Linked DNA regions of Oreochromis niloticus. The protein of the gene in region 1 purifies or fractionates together with the protein of each later gene. This does not show direct contact. Links are inferred from orthologs where the notes say so. Each region holds a gene or a part of one and is shown on either strand. Other genes may lie near its edges.

What was found.
Region 2: the proteins of junbb (region 1) and atf3 purify together in Homo sapiens (affinity purification with mass spectrometry; 3 studies listed by BioGRID and IntAct, counting the BioPlex papers as one, with this or other methods). This does not show direct contact. The link is inferred for Oreochromis niloticus from reciprocal best matches to the Homo sapiens genes JUNB and ATF3.

What each region holds. Positions count from the first base shown.
Region 1 is NC_031969.2:8,273,907-8,284,988, forward strand, and holds junbb (junB proto-oncogene, AP-1 transcription factor subunit b), read left to right. Parts: upstream 1-7,087; 5' UTR 7,088-7,442; coding exon 7,443-8,432; 3' UTR 8,433-8,955; downstream 8,956-11,082. UniProt on the Homo sapiens protein: Transcription factor involved in regulating gene activity following the primary growth factor response. Binds to the DNA sequence 5'-TGA[GC]TCA-3'.
Region 2 is NC_031980.2:22,556,552-22,568,658, forward strand, and holds atf3 (cyclic AMP-dependent transcription factor ATF-3), read right to left. Parts: upstream 5,911-12,107; 5' UTR 5,753-5,910; intron 4,507-5,752; 5' UTR 4,506-4,506; coding exon 4,248-4,505; intron 4,124-4,247; coding exon 4,016-4,123; intron 3,845-4,015; coding exon 3,542-3,844; 3' UTR 1,885-3,541; downstream 1-1,884.

The DNA.
Region 1 (11,082 bases):
GGGCTGACCCACACTGATGTTAAAAAGTCTTGCCGTCTTGGGGCGATCGTGGCTCAAGAGTTGGGAGTTCGCCTTGTAATCGGAAGGTTGCCGGTTCGAGCCCCGGCTTGGACAGTCTCGGTCGTTGTGTCCTTGGGCGAGACACTTCACCCGTTGCCTACTGGTGGTGGTCAGAGGGCCCGGTGGCGCCAGTGTCCGGCAGCCTCGCCTCTGTTAGTGTGCCCCAGGGTGGCTGTGGCTACAGTGTAGCTTGCCATCACCAGTGTGTGTGAATGGGTGGATGACTGCATGTGTAAAGCGCTTCGGGGTCCTTAAGGACTAGTAAAGCGCTATACAAATACAGGCCATTTGTAGTCGGGTAAAAGAAAAACTAGCTTTTCCTGGGAAACAGTAAAACGTGCAGTAGTTCGGTGCCAGCATGAATTTCCTGGCATACATTCGTTGTGAGGAAAGACAGACAGTCTTTTAATATTAGTGACATATAATGTACAACTTGTCTTCAAGTGATAGATATACAGATTTTTCCACTCTGGCTCATTTGGACTTGTCGTGCACTCCCTTGGTACACTGCCTCGGGCATGGGTGTAGGCGCGAGGCTTCTTCCCTCCAACTATTTCCTCATGTAAGATCAGCAAGTTCTTTTTTTTTTTTTTAATTCTGCTTTTGGCAGTAGTTTGAGTTTTTTATGTGTCTATCACCAAGTCTTACATATATCTGGTGTTAAACCTGGTGTAATTGATGATTCCAGAGCAACTTGTGTTAGAAGCGAGTTATAAATCCTATTTATAAAGTAGAAATAAAATACTAAAGAGTTCGGCCCTGGGAAATAAAATATTCCATCAATAATTTAGTTCGTCTGCGAAATGCATTTTAAACGTGGTGAAATTGTGTCGCGAAATAGGCACAGAGTTTCTGAAGGGCAAACGAAGCTGGAAATATATTTGGTGAATAGTACAGGAATAGTACAACAGTAATTTATTTGACGACTGAACGAGCTTTGTATTTAGTTTCTCACTGTTGGTTTAATATCCATCCATCTGGACTGGAGCCTATTCCTGCTGTCACAGGGTGAAACATGGAGGTACACTGGGTTGCCTGTCTATCACAGGGCTTCATATTGGTCTGTTATGTGAAATTAAACTAAATAATCTAAAGAAAAATGCTGTATAATTTTACACAAGTTCTCTAAAAATAATGATATGTTGCAAAACCTCGATCTTTTATTGAAGCTGCCAGGCAGCGTTGGACGCAGTGATGCATCCTCCGTTAAAAAGTTCATGAACTCTAGCCTTCAAATTAGTGGCTCTTGAAAAGGTTGAAGATGAACCATTAATAGATCAAAACAGGCCATTTGGGGTTGACAGAGTGAAGAGGAGGAAAACATCATCGGGCCATCATGTGATGTTGATGATGATGCAAATGATGATGATGATGGATCACTCTATTAATAGACCTGGCAGTGAAGTGACCATAGTCACAACAGATTAGAGCATCGCCTTGGATGAGAGGCCCCATTATGTCCAGAGGAAGGAGTCAGCTGCTTTGTCAAGAGGGCACCTCACAAACAAACCTCATTTGACTGAGCCCGTCTTTCTCTTTCCCCTTGCCCTTCCACTCTCGCGCTAACCCCGACTCTTTTTCTGCTGAGTGGGTGTTTTTGCGAAGTTTTGAAGGTCAGAGAAAGACTCTAAAGTGTGGAGCGAGCTTGGGGCTTTGACCTCTGATTGCCACCACCCCCCCTCCCCTGCTGCCCTAGCTTCTGTGAGTCACATAGACGGAGCCATCTCGCCCAACCAAAAGGACAACACGTTGTGGAGAAGCAGACGGCAAGTAGGCTGGCAGCCCGGCTCTGACAAAAGGAGAGTTGTGCAGAGGTGGCGAGGGACAATGGGACAGTTTGAGAGGAGGAGGTGAGGAGAGCTCAGTCCTCACAATAAGTAGGCTTATTGTGAAAGCCTGCTCTGTTGAAGGACAGAGTTTATAGGGTGAAGAAATTACAGGGATTATCCAAGGTAAGAATTGATGATGCTATGTGTCTGTGCACTAATAATGCAAAAATATATCTAGAAATCTGCATAGATACACATCTACTGAATAAAATATTTCAAATGCAAAAATGACTTTGAATCAAAATCACAAATCTGAACATTTTCACTGCGAACACTTTAGTCTTTGTTATATCCTCCCTTCTTGCAGATGTTCACATTGTGGTTAAAAAAACACCACACACTCATACTCCACCCCGAGTGATATACGTGCTTGTTCACACACACACACACACACACACATACTTAAGACACATACACTTTTCTTATTCTTACCGTAAACAGCTTCCTCCCACCCTCAGGCTTTGCCTTTCCCAAACTCACCCAGGATCCCGAGCAGGTAACACTCAGTTGGTTTTGGCAGTCATCCATGTGATCCTGACTGTTTAAACTGAGTCTGTTGCCAAGCAGCTCGTCCTGCCCTGGAACTCTTTGAAAGTTTGCCCAAAAATATGCATAAAAAAAATATGAACACTAAATCTTAGGGCTGGTTTCGGGTATTAGTAGAACTCCTGTACAAAAAAAAAGCAGAACTTGAAGGTATTTCTATACTAGAGTACACACACAATCTTAACAGACTAAACAGAGATGTGACTAATCAAGATGTGACTAAGATGTCGGACACGTTTTTTTAAAAACGATTTTTATTGTTTTTGCAAAAGATGAAACCGGTTCCCTTCAACTAATCACCACGTCATCACTTAGAGCTAAATCGACCCAAATTTCGCAGCTCTTCTGTTTATAATTGAAGGTGGTGATTAATAGAGATTGTTCTGAGCAGAAGCAAAATCACATATTAGACACGCCGTACATCTGTCGCAACATTCACACGTTTGTCTCTCCCACTGCTTAGCAAACATTAGTGCTTTTGACTAACATTTGGCAAGATGGCACGGTGCCACCTCACGAGTGTTCCCGTAAACACTCACCGCTCTGGACCCTGTGCTGTTGTTCTGTGCCAAAATGTCACTGGAAGTGTGGTCAACCTCAAACCCCAGTGCTGAATAAAACCTAAACCCAAGCAAGAGCAGAGCATCAGAAACAGGCAGCTGCACAGAGGACAGAATTTATAAGGGAGGTGGCAAAGTGGAGGCAAGACACTGCCAGGAATTGTTGTTTTCCTCTGTTTAGCCATATTCCCATGGATACTCACAAAAAGGCATAGAGTTAAAATAGTTGTTCTGAATACCAGCAAATTACCTGAGATGAGGTAATTACAATCAGGCATGGAGAACCTAAAAGTGGTGATTTCAGTTAACTTTCCCAGTCATGTCAAGAATATAGCAAACGGCTGTCAACGGTAAACGTTCTCCTTTCTGTGACAGGTTTAAAAGCTCTCTCCGCTTTAGGCCTAAACACCACTGACAATGAGTTTTTAAAAGGCAAATACATAGTATTACAGGGTGGTGGCTGTCACTATTCATACCCAAAGGGAAAACCTGTTGAAAGCTTGATTCAGCCCCCCTCCCCCTGCTCTGGCACAGGTCGGAAATACACTGAGAGGTGGATTCTGCGGATGAGAAAGTCACAGATTAAATAATCAAAGGTGTGGCTGTGCTTGTTTTGAAATATACAAATATGACTGTACTCTTGTGTAATTCTTGTGCTGGGTTTTGTTTTTGTTATACAGCACAGCCTCAACCACCAAGGTGTAAACTTATACTTTTCCAGGCATGCTCGTGGGAAAGTTGGGCTAATTAACTCTGTTTTAACTAACAGATGGAAAACTGAGAGCGGGGGTTAGCTTGCCGTCCCCTCACAGCAATTAGGTCCTGGGTTTGAATCCACCATCTGGCTGGGGCCCTGGGAGTTTGGATGTTCTGTCTCCAGGTGCTTCCACTCACAGTCCAAAAAAAAGCATGGGGTTAGGTTAACTGGTGATTCAAAATGGGCTGTAGGTGTGAAAGTGAGTGCGAATGGTTGTCTATGTCTTTGTTTTGGCCCTGTGACAGATTTGGGACCTCTCCAGGTGGACCCTACCTCTCTCCCTTTAACAGCTGGAGTAGGCTCCAGCCTCCCTGTGACCCTGAAGCGGATAAGCGGAAGCAAATGAATGGAGGGAAAAGTGATAAGAGTAAGAGTAAGCAAATGGTTGATAATAGCAATAATAAAGGTTTGTGTTAATGTGAGGCATAAACTGTTCTATATAGATACAAATCTATACATTTATTAAATAACAATAAATAGAAACAGCTATCTTACTACGATGGATAAATGGGTGAAACATCCACCTTTTCCAGATTGTAGTCACAGATCACTGATTTTAGACCGCCTGTTAAAGTCTCAGCTTAAAGCTGAGTGTGTCCACACAGGAAGTGACTAGCAGCTAACTGGAAACCTGAGACCACAGAAAGTCAATGACATTCGGTCACTTCAAGTGAAAAAAAAAACGGTTGAAAAAAACCCTTGTGACGCACAGTGGGTGCGTCCCAAGATAAACATTTCTCAAATTCAACGTGAGCTGCTAAAGCTAGCTCACTTGGTTAGCAAACTGCTGATATGAACAATTAAAATGCTATTATTTTTCTTACCAAAACCTTGCACGGTCCTTACCTTACAGAAGGCAATATTATTTATCAGACAGTTCCATTAAAACTCCTTTAAAATGACACGAACAGCGAACACAAGAAAGCTGTTAGCTAAAGCTGCACATGCTAGCAGCTGTCACAACTTTCATAATGCAAATGGATGCGTTATGAAAAAACTTAACAGTACAGATGTTATTTATGTGGAAAGTCTCCATAAAGACCAGTGACCTTTGTTATACCACGATGGTTTTTAATGTTGTAAGTTGGTATTTTAACATGGAGGTTTATGGAGATTGGCTCACTTTTAGAAAGCGCCTCAAGTGGCCATTAAAGGAACTGCATTTCTGCACTGTCATTCTTTCTGAGCCCTTGAGGTTGCTGCCTGGTAGATGTAAAAATGCAAAAAAAATAAGTGTGTTGTGGTTGTATGTCTCTTTTAACAAGTCAAGTTTCAGTTTAAATTCAGGTCTGTCCAAGCACATAGAAACAGTAACATATTCAAAGGAATTTGACACTTTTGGCACCAAACTTCACATCCACGTCTGAATATCTGACCAAATCTGAAATGTAGTTGCAGTCTCCCTTTCTGTTCCTGAATCAGGAAACTGAAAGATTCCAGATTATGATCTCACACTGAGGCTGACCTCTGACCTTTTAGAAATTAATGTCAGAATTGCATCCCATCAGACATTTGTGTGCCATTTAATATTTCGCCTTAGAATTCTTGAGTTTTGGCTAAGACTGTGTTTTTGCGACATTGCCTAATTCAAATCAGGTGAACCTTGAGTCCAAATGGATGTTTGTGCCAAGTTTGAAGAAACTTCCTCGAAGCACTTCAGGAGACAAGTTCGCGAGAATGGGTGGAACAAGTCTACAGATTTAGCAATAATCTGGAAGCATAACACCTGCAGTCATGGTTGCTGTCACTGCAAAGGCATAAAAATCACTGTAACAATACCTGCCTTTATTAATTGTTAAGTAATATCTATTTTATAATCCTTTTAATGGGAACACATCTGGAGCATGGTGGGTGGTGTGAATATTTGATAGGGTTATAGGCGGTTTGTCACACTGATCATCTGCACATGTTAATGAAGATTCGAGAGCCAGTTTTTGTTATATGCTTCTGTTATTGTAATATACATTCTGCCACGGCCTTGTCTTCAGTACACAAGACCAGAGATTCATCCCTCAGGAACAGCCAGAGGATTTTGCAAAGCATCCTACCTGACTTGATTTGTGTGTAGAGGGATGTGGGATACAGTAGTGAAGGCAGTGGTGCTTGATTGTGTGGGCGTTGGAAGAAGTACAAACAGGAGACAAAGGTTTCCTTCTCCGCTACTGAGACAGGTGCTCTATTGAGGAATCATATTTCTTTTCTCTCAACGCTACGATCCTACCGAGCAAATCACAGTAACTCTACATGTAAATCTAAACAAAAGAAAGAAAAAAAGGGTGTTTTTGTTTGGTTTTTTTTTTAATGGCCTTCTGACATCAAAAGGGTAAAACACTATTTGTGAATCTTGCCCGGTGTAATCCCCCCTCTTTGGCTGTGTTGGACAGAATTTCCTCAGTTTCCTCTATTTCATGATCAAAGCTGTTTACTTCAGGCGACATGGCCAACATCAGCATCCTATCAGATTACTACAGGAGGAAGTGTTTGCTCTGTGGCTGATCACAGTTTTCTGCTCCGCTGATGTGTGTCACTGCTGTGTGCTTTCAGGCGTCACTTAGAAGTGGAGCAGTCAAGTCATTTGAATATATCATGTCAATACCTGTGAACCCCCCCGAAAAAATATATGAATATTAACACAAGTTAGGATGTGTATTTTCATGTTTTAAGATGGTTCATATAAAATAATGAATGTTATTTTTCTAGAAGAACTGAACTTATTGTCTGAGGCAGAAAGTCCCTAACTTGCCTAGCCACATGGATTTAGACAGGAGCAGGAATGCTGCTGGAATGAGGCCTGGAGTGGGCCTGGCTTCCCGGTTGTCCAGAAGAGGAACTTATACGTCAGTGTGCCCATATAAGGAGTCTCGACTTCCTCCATGGGACCGATTGCAGTAAACAGCTGATGTTTGTTGTATATTTCATACCCAATGGATCCAACAACAGATTGCGCGTGAACTAATGGGCATCCCATGAAGCTATAATGACATAAAATGAACCCAAACCGGCGCATTTAACGCAGTTTTAAGACACATTAAAGAACCTACAAATGAATTAGAAAAGCAGCGATTTGCTCTAACGGAATAATCTCACCTCCTCGCTTACCCAACAACCATTTATTCAGCCCATAAACGCGCAAAGTCGTGCATAAATACGTCGGACTTTTCTATTTCTGACATTGGTCTCCGCTGCGAGCCCTCCTCGGAGCGCTCTCTTGCCTACAGGCTTGTTTACAGTCGCCTCTTCCCGGCATTAGCGTCACTTGACGACGCACTCGATGGGCGCGGAGACACACACTCTGTCCAATGACAGCGAAGCACCCTATATAAAACGGCGCACATGAACCCGCCTGAACACACCTCAGCAAGCACCAAGACAAACACAGCGGCAAATAGGAATTGCGAGAAAGAAGTTTTTGTTTCACAGGATTTTGAAGGAAAAAACCACAGCAAACAGGCTCCGGGAAAGACTTTTGAAATCCGCTGATACTGAACTCTTGCTGGACTTTCACTAGTTTGTTTCCTTTGCTCTTCATCCTCGAGTGATTTTCATTTTTTGAAATTTGGAAACACTGTTTAAGAGAGACTACAAGTGCCCGATTTGATGCATGCTCTCTGCTGACACTGACTTTTGTTGATTACCCAGAGACTGTGTTTCTGTAAGCGGCCGGTAAGCTCACTTTTTTCCTACGACTTTATGTCTACAAAGATGGAACAGCCTTTTTATCATGACGACTCTTTTCTGTCGGCTTACGGCCACTCAGACGCGGCAATGCACGACTGCAAACTGCTAAAGCAGAATATGAATTTGAACTTGACAGAGCCCTATCGCAACCTGAAATCCCAGCTGAGGGCCGAGACAGACCTGTACCAAGGGGGCCAGCAAGACGTGGGGTCCCTGAAGCTCGCATCCCCAGAGCTCGAGAAGCTCATCATCCAAAACAGTAACGGTGTGATCACCACTCCCACCCCGGGCCAGTACTTCTACAACCGGGGCATCACCGATGAGCAGGAGGGCTTCGCTGAGGGTTTTGTGAAAGCACTGGACGAGCTCCACAAGATGAACCAGATGCCCCCCCCTAACGTGTCCATCGGAGCCGGTGGAGTTACGACGTGTTCGCCGGCGGCCTCTAGCGTCTTCGGCTCCGCCTTGCAGCCCGAGCCCCCCATCTACACAACACTGAACGCCTACTGCCCGAACACGAACCTATCTTCCTCATCCAGCTACCCCACAGCCACCATCAGCTACCTGCCGCCGCACCAGCAGAGCCACCACCAGCAGAGCTCGACGCACGGCGCGCACGCTTTCCAGCACACCCTCCCCGTCTCCGGACTCCATCCGCAGCGGCTGGTCGCTCTGAAAGAGGAGCCTCAGACCGTGCCCGACCTGCTCAGCAGTGACGGCTCGCCTCCGATGTCCCCGATTGACCTGGAGACCCAGGAGAGGATCAAGGCGGAGCGCAAGAGGCTGAGGAACCGACTAGCCGCTACCAAATGCCGGAGGCGCAAGCTCGAGCGCATCGCCCGGCTGGAGGAGAAGGTGAAAGTTTTGAAGAACGACAACGCGGGGCTCTCCAACACGGCGTCGGTCCTCCGGGATCAGGTAGCTCAGCTCAAACAGAAGGTCCTGACACACGTGAGCAGCGGCTGCCAGCTGATGCTCACAAGCAAGCTGGAGGCGTTTTAAAAATACCAGAGACTACTAAGAAGAAAAAAAAAAATGACTGAAAAGTGATAACACTGGAGTCATGTTCTGCATGCGCAGCACTGGAATTACCGGCTCGTGTGTAGTCAGCATCACAGGGCCGAGGGCTAGGTGTGGACGATACTGAAGGCTATTTTAGGGTGAAAAGACTGATTGTAATGGTACTTCCGGATGCTGGACACCCCTCACAGGACCATTCAACCCTAGAATCCAGGGCAGCATCCAGACTGAGCAGACACTGAGCAACACAGTGGGCGCACATGCCCATAAGTCGGGTTTACTAATGGTAGAAAATGGGAACGATAATTTGTTTTACTTTGTACCATCTTCCTTTTCCCCCTTTGTTTAGTTTTTTGTTTGTTGGCTGCATTTATTCATTGTGTAAATTATTTCATGTGTCCGGTTGATCCAGACAAACTGATGATGTCCAATGTTTACAGTGTCTCTTTTTTTTTAAAATTGTGTTGTATATTTAAGTAAAGTGTCTCAAAAATGAAAAATGAAATGGTGGAGTTGAGCGTTTTTGTTTTCACACATCTACACATAATTTAGAATAACAATAACAACAACAACAACAGCACCGGGAAAGAGTGGGAAGAGCAAACGAGGTTTTCTTTCCTACCATACTGTAACCATAACAGTTACTATAGCTCCCAGTGAGGAACTCTTACACAAGCACATTCTGGTTGCGGTGTTTTTACGCACAGAGCGTAGCTTGCGTATGTAGGCCTTTCCTAATTACGCAGGGGCTATCCATATATGGGCATACTGGTGACTACTTCGTCACAGGGGAGGATTTCTGGGAACCCCCGCCCAGGTAACGCAAACAGGTTCCTCCTCACTCCCTCTATATACTGTATCGATAAGATTTGCGAACTTCATGAGGGTGGCGGAATTTCCTTTTGGTTATTGTGCAATTGTAAAATAAAGTGTTTAAACGGGAAGAGAGCAAAGTGCGATCCTCTTATCTCTTATCAGCTAAACAAGCTAAACAAGAGCTTGGCGTGATAACAGGAAGCAGTAATAAAACGGCTGTGATCGTGGTGCTTTTTAATATTGTTATTTTTTTAATATAATAAATGAAGATTCTTAAACTCGTACGCTAGCCACCTATTGGTGGCGCTCGAGCCTCAAAGTTGTTGCAGCATTTTTTAGGTGTCAGTGTAATTGAAAGATCGCACACGACGGGAAGTGACAGTGACTTAGTACCTTCAGGAATGCCGGGGGCGTCTCAAGATGCCACGCCGGTTGGCAGAGCAGTAGGCGAGAGTGGGCGTACGGAACGCGCAGGAGCATCTGTGTGGATGGATGGGGCTGTGCGCGCTGCCAAGGACAACATTCTGGTGGGACGCATCAGCGGCCAAATATGTGCGGCAGCAGGATCTCAGAAGATGGAGAGAGAGCGAGAGTGGGGAAAAGTCCCGCGTTAAGAGGATGTGAATGAATCATTAAACATTTTAAGCTTTTCAAATGCCACTGGTTTAAAAAAAATATATATATGTGTGTGTGTGTGTGTGCTATAAGGTGGTGGGTTGAATGTTGCGTAGGGAACTATCTTCAGCTTCCACGGAAACCAGGTCTTGAAAAACTTTCCTGACCATGTGACTACTGGCCGAGAGAGCAGCTGTGTACGAAGTGGTCTCAGGAAAACCGAAGGGGGATTTCTGTCCTGTGAACACACTCGGTGACGTACAAATAATCAAGACAGTTGGGCGTAAAAACGCGATTTCTCTCTCTCAGTACTCACGAAAGCCACTTCAAAAGAGTCTAGGAGGTAAGGTTGCGGTTTTGTGCGCGCACTCTCACCTCAAGCTGTTTTGGAGAGGTAGCCCGTATTCTCTTTTAACTTGACACGTATTTGAATACTTAATTTCCATCAATAACAACTCCACTTGTTTTTTGCCGTTTGGACGTGGAAACAGAACCGGGCTCGCCCACACAAGTTCTCCTTTTTCTGTGACTTTTTGTTGTTGTAATTATTATTATCAAGAAACCTATATTCAAGGGGATGTACACTGAGATCAGTACCTGTTTCCTATATTTCAGCAGTTTTGTGTGCAGTTATATATGTACAGTTATATATAAATTGTGAGCAGTGAAACAGACCATGTAACATCACACCGCTTTCATGACTTTTATACAGCTCCAACTCTCAGAATGAGTACTTTTAAATATCACTCCAGCGCTTAAGTCTCCATTTACGCAGTAGGCAGGCCTACATATTACAATGCAGGCACACACAGTCCAAAAAAAGAAGAAAGACAAAAAAAAAAAAAAAAAAGTCAATTTCAAGCCATACTGGCTCTCCACACGCCTCGGCCCACAACCCACACTGAGTGTCTGTGGGAACATCTGTGATGTGAACGGTGACGTACGAAGAGCCCTGGGTGGGTTTGATTTTCCTCTCCACGAGCCCCCTTCCCCTCCCACAGACACTCGCAGGCCTGGCTTTCTCTCTCTCGCTCTCACTCATTCTCTCCCTCTCTCCGATCTTCTGTTGTCTTCTCGAGAACCATGAATATTCCTCCCACCTTTCGGTGGCCATCTGAGGATCCCTCAGAAGTTGCGTGGCTTGTTTTGGATGGGTAATGAGAGCGGATTTAGGAAAAGTTTGTGGCTGTCATGAAAAAGC
Region 2 (12,107 bases), on another chromosome or scaffold:
CTGCCTGCCTCTACCTCTTTGAACAGAACATGTTCAGTCTTGTCCTTCAGCTCCATCACATGCACAGTTGCTCTGTGCTTACATGTAGGAATTCTGTAGGAGATTTTTGTAAGCAAACGTTTATGTTGTGAAATCGTTCCACTTGTGGAAAAAAACATGGTGATAGAAGTACAGCAGCTTCCTGGTACCCATCTGGGAATGTAAGCTTTTAAAACCGAGTATCCTTCAAGGAAACTCTGTTATTTTTTCTGATATTCATAACACACTCTTTATTTTAATGAGAGTGGGCCCGGTGCTGATGTAACTGTGTTCCTAAAGTAAAACAGAAGCTCACAGCTGCAGAGTTAGTTTTCTAAAGATCAAGCATGAGTTTTGTTAGCTCTGCTGTTGTCATTTTCAGACGTGGAGAACATGAGACGTACGTGAGCAGGTTAATGGCTACAAAACGAAAATCATTGTTTCAAAATGGATCTGATGCAATCCAAAGCAACTGACCGGTCAACTGCATTGTCAGAAAGTGGTGATTATTGATGATAAGCATTGCAAACATTTGTTTTACAATGTGTTGCATCAGATGGCACATGTTTTCATAAGTGCAGAAAGTCTATAGGTATAAGATATTGTACAGCTCCAACAGCGAAGAGCAAGGCACTAATATTTCTGTATTTCTGCTCTATTTAGTGTTATCAATGCACTATCACAGCTTTTTTCCACTAGCATCATGTGAGCTCACTGTAGCAATAATCATGTCGTAATTTAATTTAAGATTATCATAAGAAATCAGCTACTCAGCCCTCTTCCACTGAACTTCATGGAGCTTGGTTGTAGTGCTACGATCATTGCTGCACATTTATTAAGCTCTAACCATTATTATTATTATGTACTACTGATATTTTAATAATGATTTATTTTTTTTTGCATTTTTGTCCCAGTTACGTTTCAGATCATCAAACAAAATATAATATTAGAATGAGATAACCAGTCACTAACATCTATCAGTCTAGACAGAGTGACAAAGCCATTGTAAGGCTTTGGGGACCACCATCCATAAAATTAAGAAATTTTGGAACTTGATGTATTGATGACTCGTCCAGAAGATCACCAAAAAACAAATAACAGAACAACATCTAAAGAACTGCAGGTCTCACTTGCCTCAGTTAAGGTCAGAGTGCTGTGACTCAATATGAAAGAGACTGAACAGAAATGGCACCAAAAAGAACACAAAGGCCTCACATTTGCCAAATAACATTTTGATGATCCCTAAAACCTTTGGGAAAATGTTCCGTGGACTGTGATGAGGCAAAAGCTGAACTTTGTGGAAGGTTTGAGTCCCGTTACGTCTGGTATGAAACTAACACAGCATTTCATTAAACGACAGCCAAACATGGTGGTGTCAGGGTGACGGTCTGGGACTGCTGTCCTGTTTCACGACCCCCCAATGGCTTGCTGTAATGATGGAAACATGAATTCTGCTCTCTACCAGAAACTCCTGATGTGAAAAAAATAATAATTATCTCCACATCAGTGCAAATCACATTTACCTGTCCGTTTCCAAAAAAAGGCATCTGACAGGTCTCATTTTCAGTTCACATCTTTAATTATCAAAGTATCAAAATCAAAACAGAGATGAGAAGTAGTTACACAGTGATAGTAGCAGTGCAGTTGTACCTGACATCCTTTATTTATTTCTGCTATGACACAGCTATAGAGAAAAAAAAAAGTCTTCAGTAGTAGAAATAGGCACAATATGAATACATGCACTCAGTGCTCAGTGACTATCTAGTAATGACTAGCATCGGGACAACAGGTGACAAAAGCACTATGACCACAAAGACGCCTGCGTCCCTTTAACAATGTGACTCTCGCACAACACATACAACAATATAAACCTTCTAACAGAGGAATACAACTTCAGTCTACAAAATTCATTATCATAATGTCCTGTCAAAGGAAACCCCTTCTGGTATGTACTCATCCTTTGCTTGGCAGTTTGTACATCAGAGTTTCAGTTTGATTAGCGATTGGGTAACTGAAGGAGAAGTTAGAGTGTTAGGGTGTCGCTCAGGAAGAAAGGGCTTCTGATCTCATGTTTGGCTTTATTTTACTGCCAAAAAATGACAAACAGCAATCATCGTGCTTCTCAAATTTCTGTTTGCGCAATAAACTGCTTTTTTCCTTGGGCCATTTTTTTACTCTAAACTTTAAAGGTCAGAGAATAGAAAAGGGTGTGCAAGTGAACGACAACTATTTTGGCAATGGGTTTTCAAATAGCGGAAGTTCACGACACACTTAGATTCTAACATGTCACCAAATCTTGCATAACTTCAGAGTAAACTGATGCAGCGCTTCTGATACCTAGCTAATGATATCTAATGAACACAACATCTGGACCAAATGTTTTCAATAAATACATTTTTAAAAAAATAACTTTTGTTTTTGCTCTGTTGAGACCAAAGGAGGCATTGGTGTTTACATACAGCAGCACGTAGTTAATATGCATTTGATACGTTATACAAGACATTGGGTAGAAAACACATCTGTAAAATAACACTTGTGTAGCTTCATTGTCACAGAACAGGTTAAAAAAAAATCCCCTTTGCTTTAAGAGAGAACACAGTGATAAATAAAGTGTCCATTGGGCAACTGTGATTGCCAGAAAATATTGAATTCTTAAGAAAAACAAAACAAAACACTTATCTATACATGTGATTACACTGTCTTTTGTACTAGGCTTTTTTCAGTAAGTGCAGAATTAGAAACCCTGCCTGCAAAGTACATTTCCCTTTTGTGTCTGCTACACTCACAGCAAGGAACCTGACCCGTACTCACGCTTTTGGACGAGTCATCTCGTATTATGTATAACAAAACTGACGTCTACAGCATACCTAGGTCCTGAGTGGTTAGTAGCAGCAGCGTTTTTAGTAATTCACTTTGTATACAGGACAAGCAAACAGGGTTAAAACAGCAACATCCTAACATACAGTAGTCATTTAATAAATATGTAATCTTTGCTGTACACTAAACAGAGACCGCTTCTTTTTAAAGTCAGTGACTTGCATCTGTACACACTCACACTGAATCTCCTTTCTCTCGGGGTGAACTCTTAAATAATGTGCCTTGATCACCTTGAAATCGCGCTTTGGTACAAAAATCAGACCATCGACTATTTAAAATACTAATAAATCAAGAAAAGCTGTTGAATTTTGTTTAAGTGCTTTAGCATCTGTTCTTGGCCCTGACTGTTTAAAATGTTTAAAAAAACGAAACATAATGCAAGTCAAAGTGCTGTCCATCATTTCTCACTCCTGTCCAATCAGCAGCTACGGGTTCAGGGAGTGGAAGGTGCTGAGGTCGCTTTACACCACTCTCTCTTTCTCTAGCAGCATTATGGGCGGCAGGTGAGTGTGAGGAGTCACAGGTGGTGTTTCATTCTCAGGTCATAAGTCTGTATGTGGCAACTCCACCTCCTGCGAAACCAGTCAGTCCTACATCAGCAGCAGGAGATGGAAGAATTGCAAGCCCTAGATAACACTCTGGGAGATCATAAGTGACTGGGGCACTGGACGTGATCGAGAGTCAGAAGTCCTCCGCCGAGAGGCGCTGCTGTGGACGTGGATGCGGATGAGGTGGTGGTGGAGGTGAGGTCGTGGAGTTGTAAGGTGCTCTCCTTGATGTGCTGGATGAAAAGGTTTCGCTCGTCCTCGGGGGTCTGGGGGTTCTGGGCTCGGACGATGCACGTCGGCCGGTGCAGATTGAGCATGTAGACCAGCTGCTGCTTCTGCTGCTTCAGCTCCTCAATCTGAGCTTTTAAGTCGGCATTGATGCTCTCGAGCTTCTCAGACTCCTGTGGAGAAGGATGGAAGAAGGAGACTGTTATTCACCCGAGAAACATAAGCTACTTCTCACTGCAAGCTGGGAATGTTGAGCTTTATAAATTGTCTAACTGTGAGGGTGCAAAAAGCTAAGAGTAGGTGCAGAATAACCTATGCTCATATTGATGAAAGTGGAAAACTACCTTCTGGAGTGATTCAGTCTTTTCCTTCTTCTTGTTGCGGCACTTGGCAGCAGCGATTTTGTTTCTCTCCCTCCTCCTTTTCCTCCTTTCATGCTCCTCAGATGTCAACTAAAAAACCAGTGAGAAATATAAACCATTAAGAAAAAAAAACTCTATATAAAAACAGACACATTACAGAAAACATATCCAAAAATACAGATAACTACATGCTGTAATTCCCCCTCTGCCTTACCTCTCGCTTGACTCCGTTCCTGCATGAAGTTAGCTCGGAGGCTCGATCCGAGCTGGAGCTGGCACCATCAGAACTCATGTCGGTGCTAAGCCCGTTGGACAACCGCTTGCTCTGGATTGCCAGCCGGAGCTCCTCTTTCACAATGGGTGTGAAGTTGGTGAAGTCGTCCAGGGTGAGTGTGCCTGGAGGGGAGAGGCAGGGAACCAAGGCGGAGCAGCTGATGTCAGCCAGAGAAGGACCCGAGTGCTGAAGCATCATTCTGGAAAAGCAAGAGATGAAGATCGTCAGGTGGGTCAGAAACACTTAATATAATTTAAAAGAGCCCAGAGCTAAAATGTCCTTAGGACAAAAAGTCACTATGAAACCAATGCTGAAAGTCACAAGATAAATAAAGGAGTCATATTTATACTGTCTGGCTCAAACACAAGAAAGTATCTGAATATGTGGCAAAAATAATAAAGGAATTTTCAGATTTTTGCTGAGTAATAAAGACACAGATGTCAGGAGGAAAACCAAAGCTAAGATCGGTTTGTTGGAAGGTCAACATGGCATGTTAAGGAGGACAAACAGATTGTGATGACAAGACAAATGGCTGTGTCATTCAAAACTAAGCAAACATTTGCTTTGTGGAAAACATGCTGTAAAAAAGGCTCATTAATTGGGGAGGTGTGGATGTTTGTTATCTAAACAGAGAAGTGACAAGAGTTGAATTATGGCCATCAGCCAGATAAGAAGTGTTTACATCAGCTCTGAGACCAAAACCAAAACAAGCACATTTATATTATATTCTTATGTTCTCCAGTAATAAATCATTTGCAACGAAGTCATTAATGATAATGGTTCGTATTAGTCTGCACACAGCTGCACCTTCTTAGAATTAAAAAAAAAGTTTTAAAAAGTCTTGTTAGCTCTACAAATATTTTACCACCGCCTCCCTCTGTTCCCTTCAGTTTCGTTATTATGTGTTCAGGTAATTATAAAAGAGAATTTTGGCTATTCATGTGTTTGTTTTGGTTTTGTTATTATAGAGTTAGCTCAAAAGAAAAGAAGAAAAAAAGAAGAAACAACGATATTAAAAGTCTCGTCAAAAGCGAGGAAACCAGTGCAAAAATCCGAAATACCTGATTATAAATAAGTTACAAAAAAGTATAACTACATGCATTCAAGCAGAATTCAAGTAAAACGTCGCATGATGTCAGATTTGAAACAAAAACATCTCAAAAGTTTTTTATAAATACAAAATACGCTAAAATAAAATGAAAAAAAAGAAAAGAAAAATCGTTAGTGCAAACTGCTCCAAAAAGATGCGCTTGTTTATATATTTTATATTTTCACGCAAAAACACGCGCGGAAGTTTTCGCAGTGTCCCGGGACGGAGCGCACGGAGACACCGGCTCTCTGCGCTTCTCACCGGGATCAAAGAGCGACAACACCGCCTCTCTGCCCCTCACACACACGCTCAAACACCCCAGTCCTCTTCCACCGGAAACAGATCTCCAGCCTACCTGTTAAAGCTGTGAGTGTCCGGATCGGATGAAGTGCGCCGTGAAGAAAGAAACCTTCTCTTATGTCTTTGCGTTTCGCTCTTTCTGTGTCCGCTTCCTGCTCGTTGGCTACGGTTGCTCTTGTGGCCTTTACGTTGCGTCACCTCGCGCTTTTAACTTGGTTGAAGGGGCGGGACACATGACGCAACGCTACTAGAGAGCGAGAGAGAGAGCGCTAGGGTTGGGAGCCTGAGAGTAGGGAGGGGTGACGTCATCCTATTTTTAGAAGGCTGATCCGGCGATGATGCAATCTAGCAACGCCGAGTGTTCTTCTCTGCCATAACAGGACAGGCGTCCCCCTCCCTCCTCCTCCTCATGTTTTTTCCTCCTCTGCCTCTCGTTCCTCACATTTTCAGCTCTCTTTCCTCATTCTCCTCCTCCTCCTCTCTCTGCTTCCTACCCTCTTCCCACCAACGCTTTATTCCTTTCCCAGTCTTTTAATCTTTTTTCCTTTTTTGTTTTTCATGTTTTGATATTTGTCTCTTTTTTCAACAGTTCATTCATCATCTCTAATCCTCCTTTTTTGGTATAGTTTCTATCTCCCTCCTTTTTTAATCCCCACCCATCAGCTTTGGCCTTTTTAAAAATTTTCCATGATTTACGTCCCAAAATCCCTCTATTCTTTGCCACTTTCACAACATGTTTTTCTCTTATCTTCCCTCCCATCTAATCTCTTTCATCCTATTTCCAGTTGTCTCTTCTCCACCCTTTGCTGTACCTCCTGCACACACATTTCCACTAATCACTTGAATCTTTTTCTCTGTTATTGTCTCGTAAAATGACCAAATTTAGAAATACGGGCTAATTTTTCTCTGCGACACCTGGTAGGTTGATGGTATTTACAGATAACCAGTTTAACCTGTTTGATCTTTTTCTTTTTAAAAATGCAGTTTCTTTTATTCCCTTTTCACTTTGTCTCCTGTTTTCTACTAAACACCTTCACGTCTTTTCCTTTTTCACTCCTCCATCATTATATTTCCAGTTTCTTTCTGCTCACTTTTTCCCAGTATTTACTTTGATACTTTTTTCTTAATTATCCATGTTTTTATATTCCTTCATCATAGTACTTTTACATCTTTCCTTCTTCTATTCATCCGAAGTCTTTTGCCCTCGTTCTTCTGCTTCTTTTATCTTATTTCTCTTGTCTCTCTTTCCTCCACTTTTTTCACTCCCATACACTTGTCCCGTCTTGTACTAAGCAGCCCCATCTTATTATTCCTCTTTCCCCTCCATTATTGTTTCCATAAGCAGCACCTCTTCACACGCTTCCCTTCCCTCTCTGTCATCTCTCTCAGTTTTGACACTGACATGGATTTCCATTCCAGGCATTCCACACTAACGAGTGAATAAGGCCGTTCAGGCTGAGTGACACCGGACGGTTATTTATTGTGCGGTTACACCACACTCACCAGCTGGGGTATAAAAGAGGTTAGACAGACATGCAGACAGATATGGATCTTTGCATGGATGGATGGAAGGATTATAATGAAATATTTTCCTTTTCCTGTCTGATGATATGATGATATGTACCTGTGAGGACAGGTAAAGAAAACTTTCTGCATGGTTTCATTTCTGAACTACGTGTGTTTTTACATGTGTGTGTGTCACAGATTTGTAGACTGACAGTAAATGTAATCAACATGCAGGGATTTTCTTGATTAGTCGTAATCAGATGATCTTGTTTACTCGACTGCTGACACAGATTTCCTAACTGTGAGAATGTTGGTTTTTGGCTTCAGAATACAAAAATATGTGCGAATTTTCACTATTTAACATCTAAATTTAAATTGTAAGTTGTGGCAGCTGTGGACACATGCAACTAGTAAGCATCTGTTAATAATATTCAGACATAGTAATCGGCATTATTAGCAGTCTTTCACACCACTTTTTATGTATTATTGATTAATTTATTACCCGATAATAGTGTCAAAATTACACCTGCGACTTCAGCACTGGCAGTAATGTCCTTGTCCTAGCAGTCAGATTAAAGGAAAATACATTTTAAAGGGTTTTACCTTATCTAGAAAACTCTGCTACTGTAACATAATGTTTATTTTATGCTTACTGAATTGTCAAAAACTGCAAAAGAGGATGGTTTATGAAACGCATGTTTATTTTATTTTATTTTTTTCCATATGGGCTGACCCACATCAGGTGCAGCTGTTTATGTGGGGCTGTTTTAATGTGCAGCCATAAAGCAGAAAGCAGCATGGCTTCAAAGCACATATCTAGCAAAGACAAGCAGAGCAAGCCGACGTCATCCTGTTTGCAGCTTTTATTATTTTCAATTTACAAGCAACTCAGAATCATTCCAAAAAAGAAAAGAAAAGAAAAGAAACAGATTGTTTCGTCTCAAATATTTCTGTCAGAAAACAGAACAACCTTATTTTTTTTGTGTGTGTCTGTTATGATGCCTACATATCCTGTCAAAGCAGAAAACAAACTCAGCTCAACTTTTTCCGGAATGCGTACATGATGCAATAATTTCCTGATAGACCGTTATCTAACACGAACCATGCAACAACAGCTCTGCAGTTTTGTAAAATCCTGCCTCTACTAGATGTTAAGTGACCTGATTCATGCGGATGTTTTAATTCTGATTAGAAGATGCAAGCTTTTGGGCATCTTGGTGACCTCTACTACAGTTTATGTGCTTAACTTGTAAGTGTCATAGGTTTTTTTTATTTGTTTGAGTGATTTCACACTGAAGAAAAGGTTCTTTCCCTGCGATTTCCTTGTAGTCTTGCTATCTTTTCCTTCTTTTTCTCATTTCCTGCCATTTTCAGTATAATTCCCTCTCAGTTTTGTAATTTTGAAACTCCCAGTTTCTCTGAATGTACCAGCAAATCTGACTTTCAGTTTTGCCAATTCGAGACTTTCTCAGAAACAATATTGCTTCACTATTTCATGAAATTATGAAATGTCAAAATCGAGTGGTCATCATGTTTGCATCTCATCTTTTCATAACTTTACCTGAAATGAAGCCAAGGAGACATGACTTGCCACACGAACGATGACTGCCATGACTGATATAGAAATTCATGTCACTATGCTGTCATGGTGAATCCCACCCATTTGTAAAAGCCATAAAATGGTTAATAATCAAACAAATGAGTTTCCACTGCTAAACTTCTGGCCTTATGTAAACCTCTGAAAAAACACTCACTCACAAAGAAGGTTATGTAGTGGTGACCTGCTGAGGTGTTTTCTCCATTTTTAGACGGTGAGTTTGAAGGCCGAGTTGAACAAGGGAAATATTTCTCTTTGCCAGGAACTGAAAGAAAAGATCTGCTCTTTCCCCAAGCTGTAAATCTGAAACCATGAAATAGTTTAAAAACAAATTCTAATAAAAAATTATTTTAGTTTAATTTAACCCAGCATAAATATTCTCATAAATAAAAACATACCACAGACGCTTTTTGTCGGCCTCAGACTAAATGAAAGTGACTTCATTGACTTATGCCCTTGAATTCTTCAATGCGTTGCCTATGTTTCCTGTGCATGTGACATGTAAGGTATGTGCTAACTCACAGTCACATGGCTTGATTTTGTGCTTTTAGTTTTGGTCCAGTTGGAAAACATAAATGCAGAGTGACTGCTGTTTGGAAAGTTGGAAAAATGCTCAGACTCAGAACTCCCGCCCAAACAGATATCACAAAGGATAGGGGAGGGGGTTTCCAAAGCAAACTTAGGATCCTAAAAAGCTCTTCCAAAGAAGAATACTCACTCACTCAAAGAAAGAAAACATAAGTTGTTCCAGACAAATCAGAGGCATATGGATTTCCATTCCAGGCATATTTAATTTAATCTTTTACAGCTGGCACATGTGAAAGCACATCTTTAAATCTTAAATTACATCTTTTTTTAATTTCTAAGATGGTAAAAGCATGACTGCATTAGTCTCACAATGTGGTGCTCAAAATTTAGGTTTTAATTAAATCAGATTTCAAGATATTTTGCAACCAGCTTGAAATTTTCAGGCCGAGAAGCAGCAGGTGGCAGAATCTGTTCAGCGTGACCTACGACCCGGTGGCAAGTTTCGTCTGAATTTAGCCAAAGGAAATGATATGACGTCCAGTACTGAACCTCATAAAGAGTCACATGGTCTGAATTAACCATCACTTACATTTATAACAGTGAGTCATGCAGAGACTCAATGTATGCTTTCATTCAGTGTAGTTTCAGTTAACTCATAGAGTAGGTATGCTTGTTTCAGTTTAGTTTTTTCCGTTTAACTGGTTATATTAATACTGTTTAGATGGTTTTAAAACATTAAGCTTGTAGTGATGATTTCATTTCACTTGGAAATTTTCAATTTTATATATTTTTATTCTTAATTCACAGCAAATCTTATAATAAAAAGCACAGATGCCAACCAACAAAACCTATTAATAAAGATGATTTTCTTCTTTTATCTTGACAAAAGCAAAAAAAAACCCAGAAAAGTGTTTTCGCACATTTTGAGTTTGTTGCTGTCAAAGTGAATAAATTCAGTGGAATGTGCGGCCTCGGATTTTGCAACACCTTTTGCAAACTCCCACCAGCTCTGGTTATCCACCTTTCAAAATATGTTTATGTCCTATCGTATGTGATGTCTCATAGCTCAGAGCCCCAGATGGAGAACTTCAGGCCCGGGTGTGCACGCTGTGTGCACGCTGTTCTGGAAAGTTACAGCACTCCCCTTCCTCAGCCTGACGTTGGAAAGGTGCTCGGGAGGAGGGAGGTGTTTCCAACATAAATGCATCAGAGGGTTTTCCAAAGAAACATATTTGATCTTTTACAGCTGACAACTTCCTTTAAAAGGTCACCAGTCCAGACAACTAACGTAAGAGCAGAACATCACAGTCATTCATATATATATATATATATATATATATGTATATATATATATATATATATATATACAATTTTCACAAATAGAGATGTTATAGGTTATTTTTCAAACTGCTCTCCATATTTTTATTTAAAAATGTGAAAAACTAAAGACAGTTACTCTGTATTTTTGACTTTTTTGGGTTAACTTGTTGTTTTTTTACTAAAATATTTTTTAGTTGAGCTATTTTCACATCTAGTTTAGTTGAATTTCTATCAACTTGTCTGAGTCTTGAATCTGCCAGAGAATACTCAACATATGAAGTTCAGTGTCGTTTGTTTCCAGCTCTGATTTTAAACCGTGTGATTAGTTAACAGTGCCGACTGTGAGTCCCCCTTTTAGAAATGCTACCTGTGCTGATTATCACCTCACAGATTTACTGTGGCGCATGCTTGACCTCGCCTCAAAATACATCCATGTTACACTGCATCTAATTAAAAGCTGACACGCTTGGAGTTGTAGTTTTTATTTTTAGGACGCCAGACAATCATCAAAATGCTCGAGCTGAATGGCACAAATGCTCACGCTCGCACTTCCACTCCTCTGTCTTTCTCTGCGAGCAGCCAGACGGGTGTTGAAAAGTTTATGAGGTCAGTGTGGTCATCCAGATTGATGCTGCGACATGAAGTCATTGCTGACACTGTCGCTTATTAATACCATATGATCGGACTGCTAACCCTCCTCAGCTAAATATTGCATTCTCTATTTTTATGTTTCAACTGTTTCATGCCAAAGAGCTACGTGTGCTCATATCCACATACAGTATGGAGGAGCAGGCTCTTTGGGCAGCTTTTAAAAAGGAAAATACAGTTTATCAGATCGACTTTCTTAATGTCAAACTTCAAAAAATTCATACCTTTTAAAATATAAAATCTAATAATGGCAAACAGGCGGACTTAAAAAAGCTAAATAAAAAGATAAACAGTAAATTTTAGCTGATTTCTAAATAAATCTGGTGTAAACAGACACAAAAACACATGGAAATAAATACATGAATCTGTGAAAGAACATAGGGTGACGTATAATATGTAAGTGGGTCTTTGGCCAGTTAACCATAACTTTCCCTTGTGATAATAAATCATTTTGTTTCTATTCAGTTTAACCTAAAAAAAAAAACCCCAGTTCTTCTTACAAGTTGTAAATAAGGGCACCGCAGGATTTCGCCACAAAACTCTCACTTTCACCTTCTATCCTGCTTACAGTTCACATCCTGGACTCCTACTTAATCTCCAAGACAGTTCCTGATGTCGGCTGATAAAGAAAACAAGACAGAGGATGGGTTTCACTATGACAGAAAGGAATGTGAATAAGAGTGAGTTTCTCATTGTGAGAGTTTGCTCTCAGTGGAAGAGAAAGTGAAAACCATAGAAGAATTCGTAAACCCATGTGCAGCAGTCTAGAGAAGCAAAGCCTACTTTTTAAACCCTCAGTTAAACAGTAAAC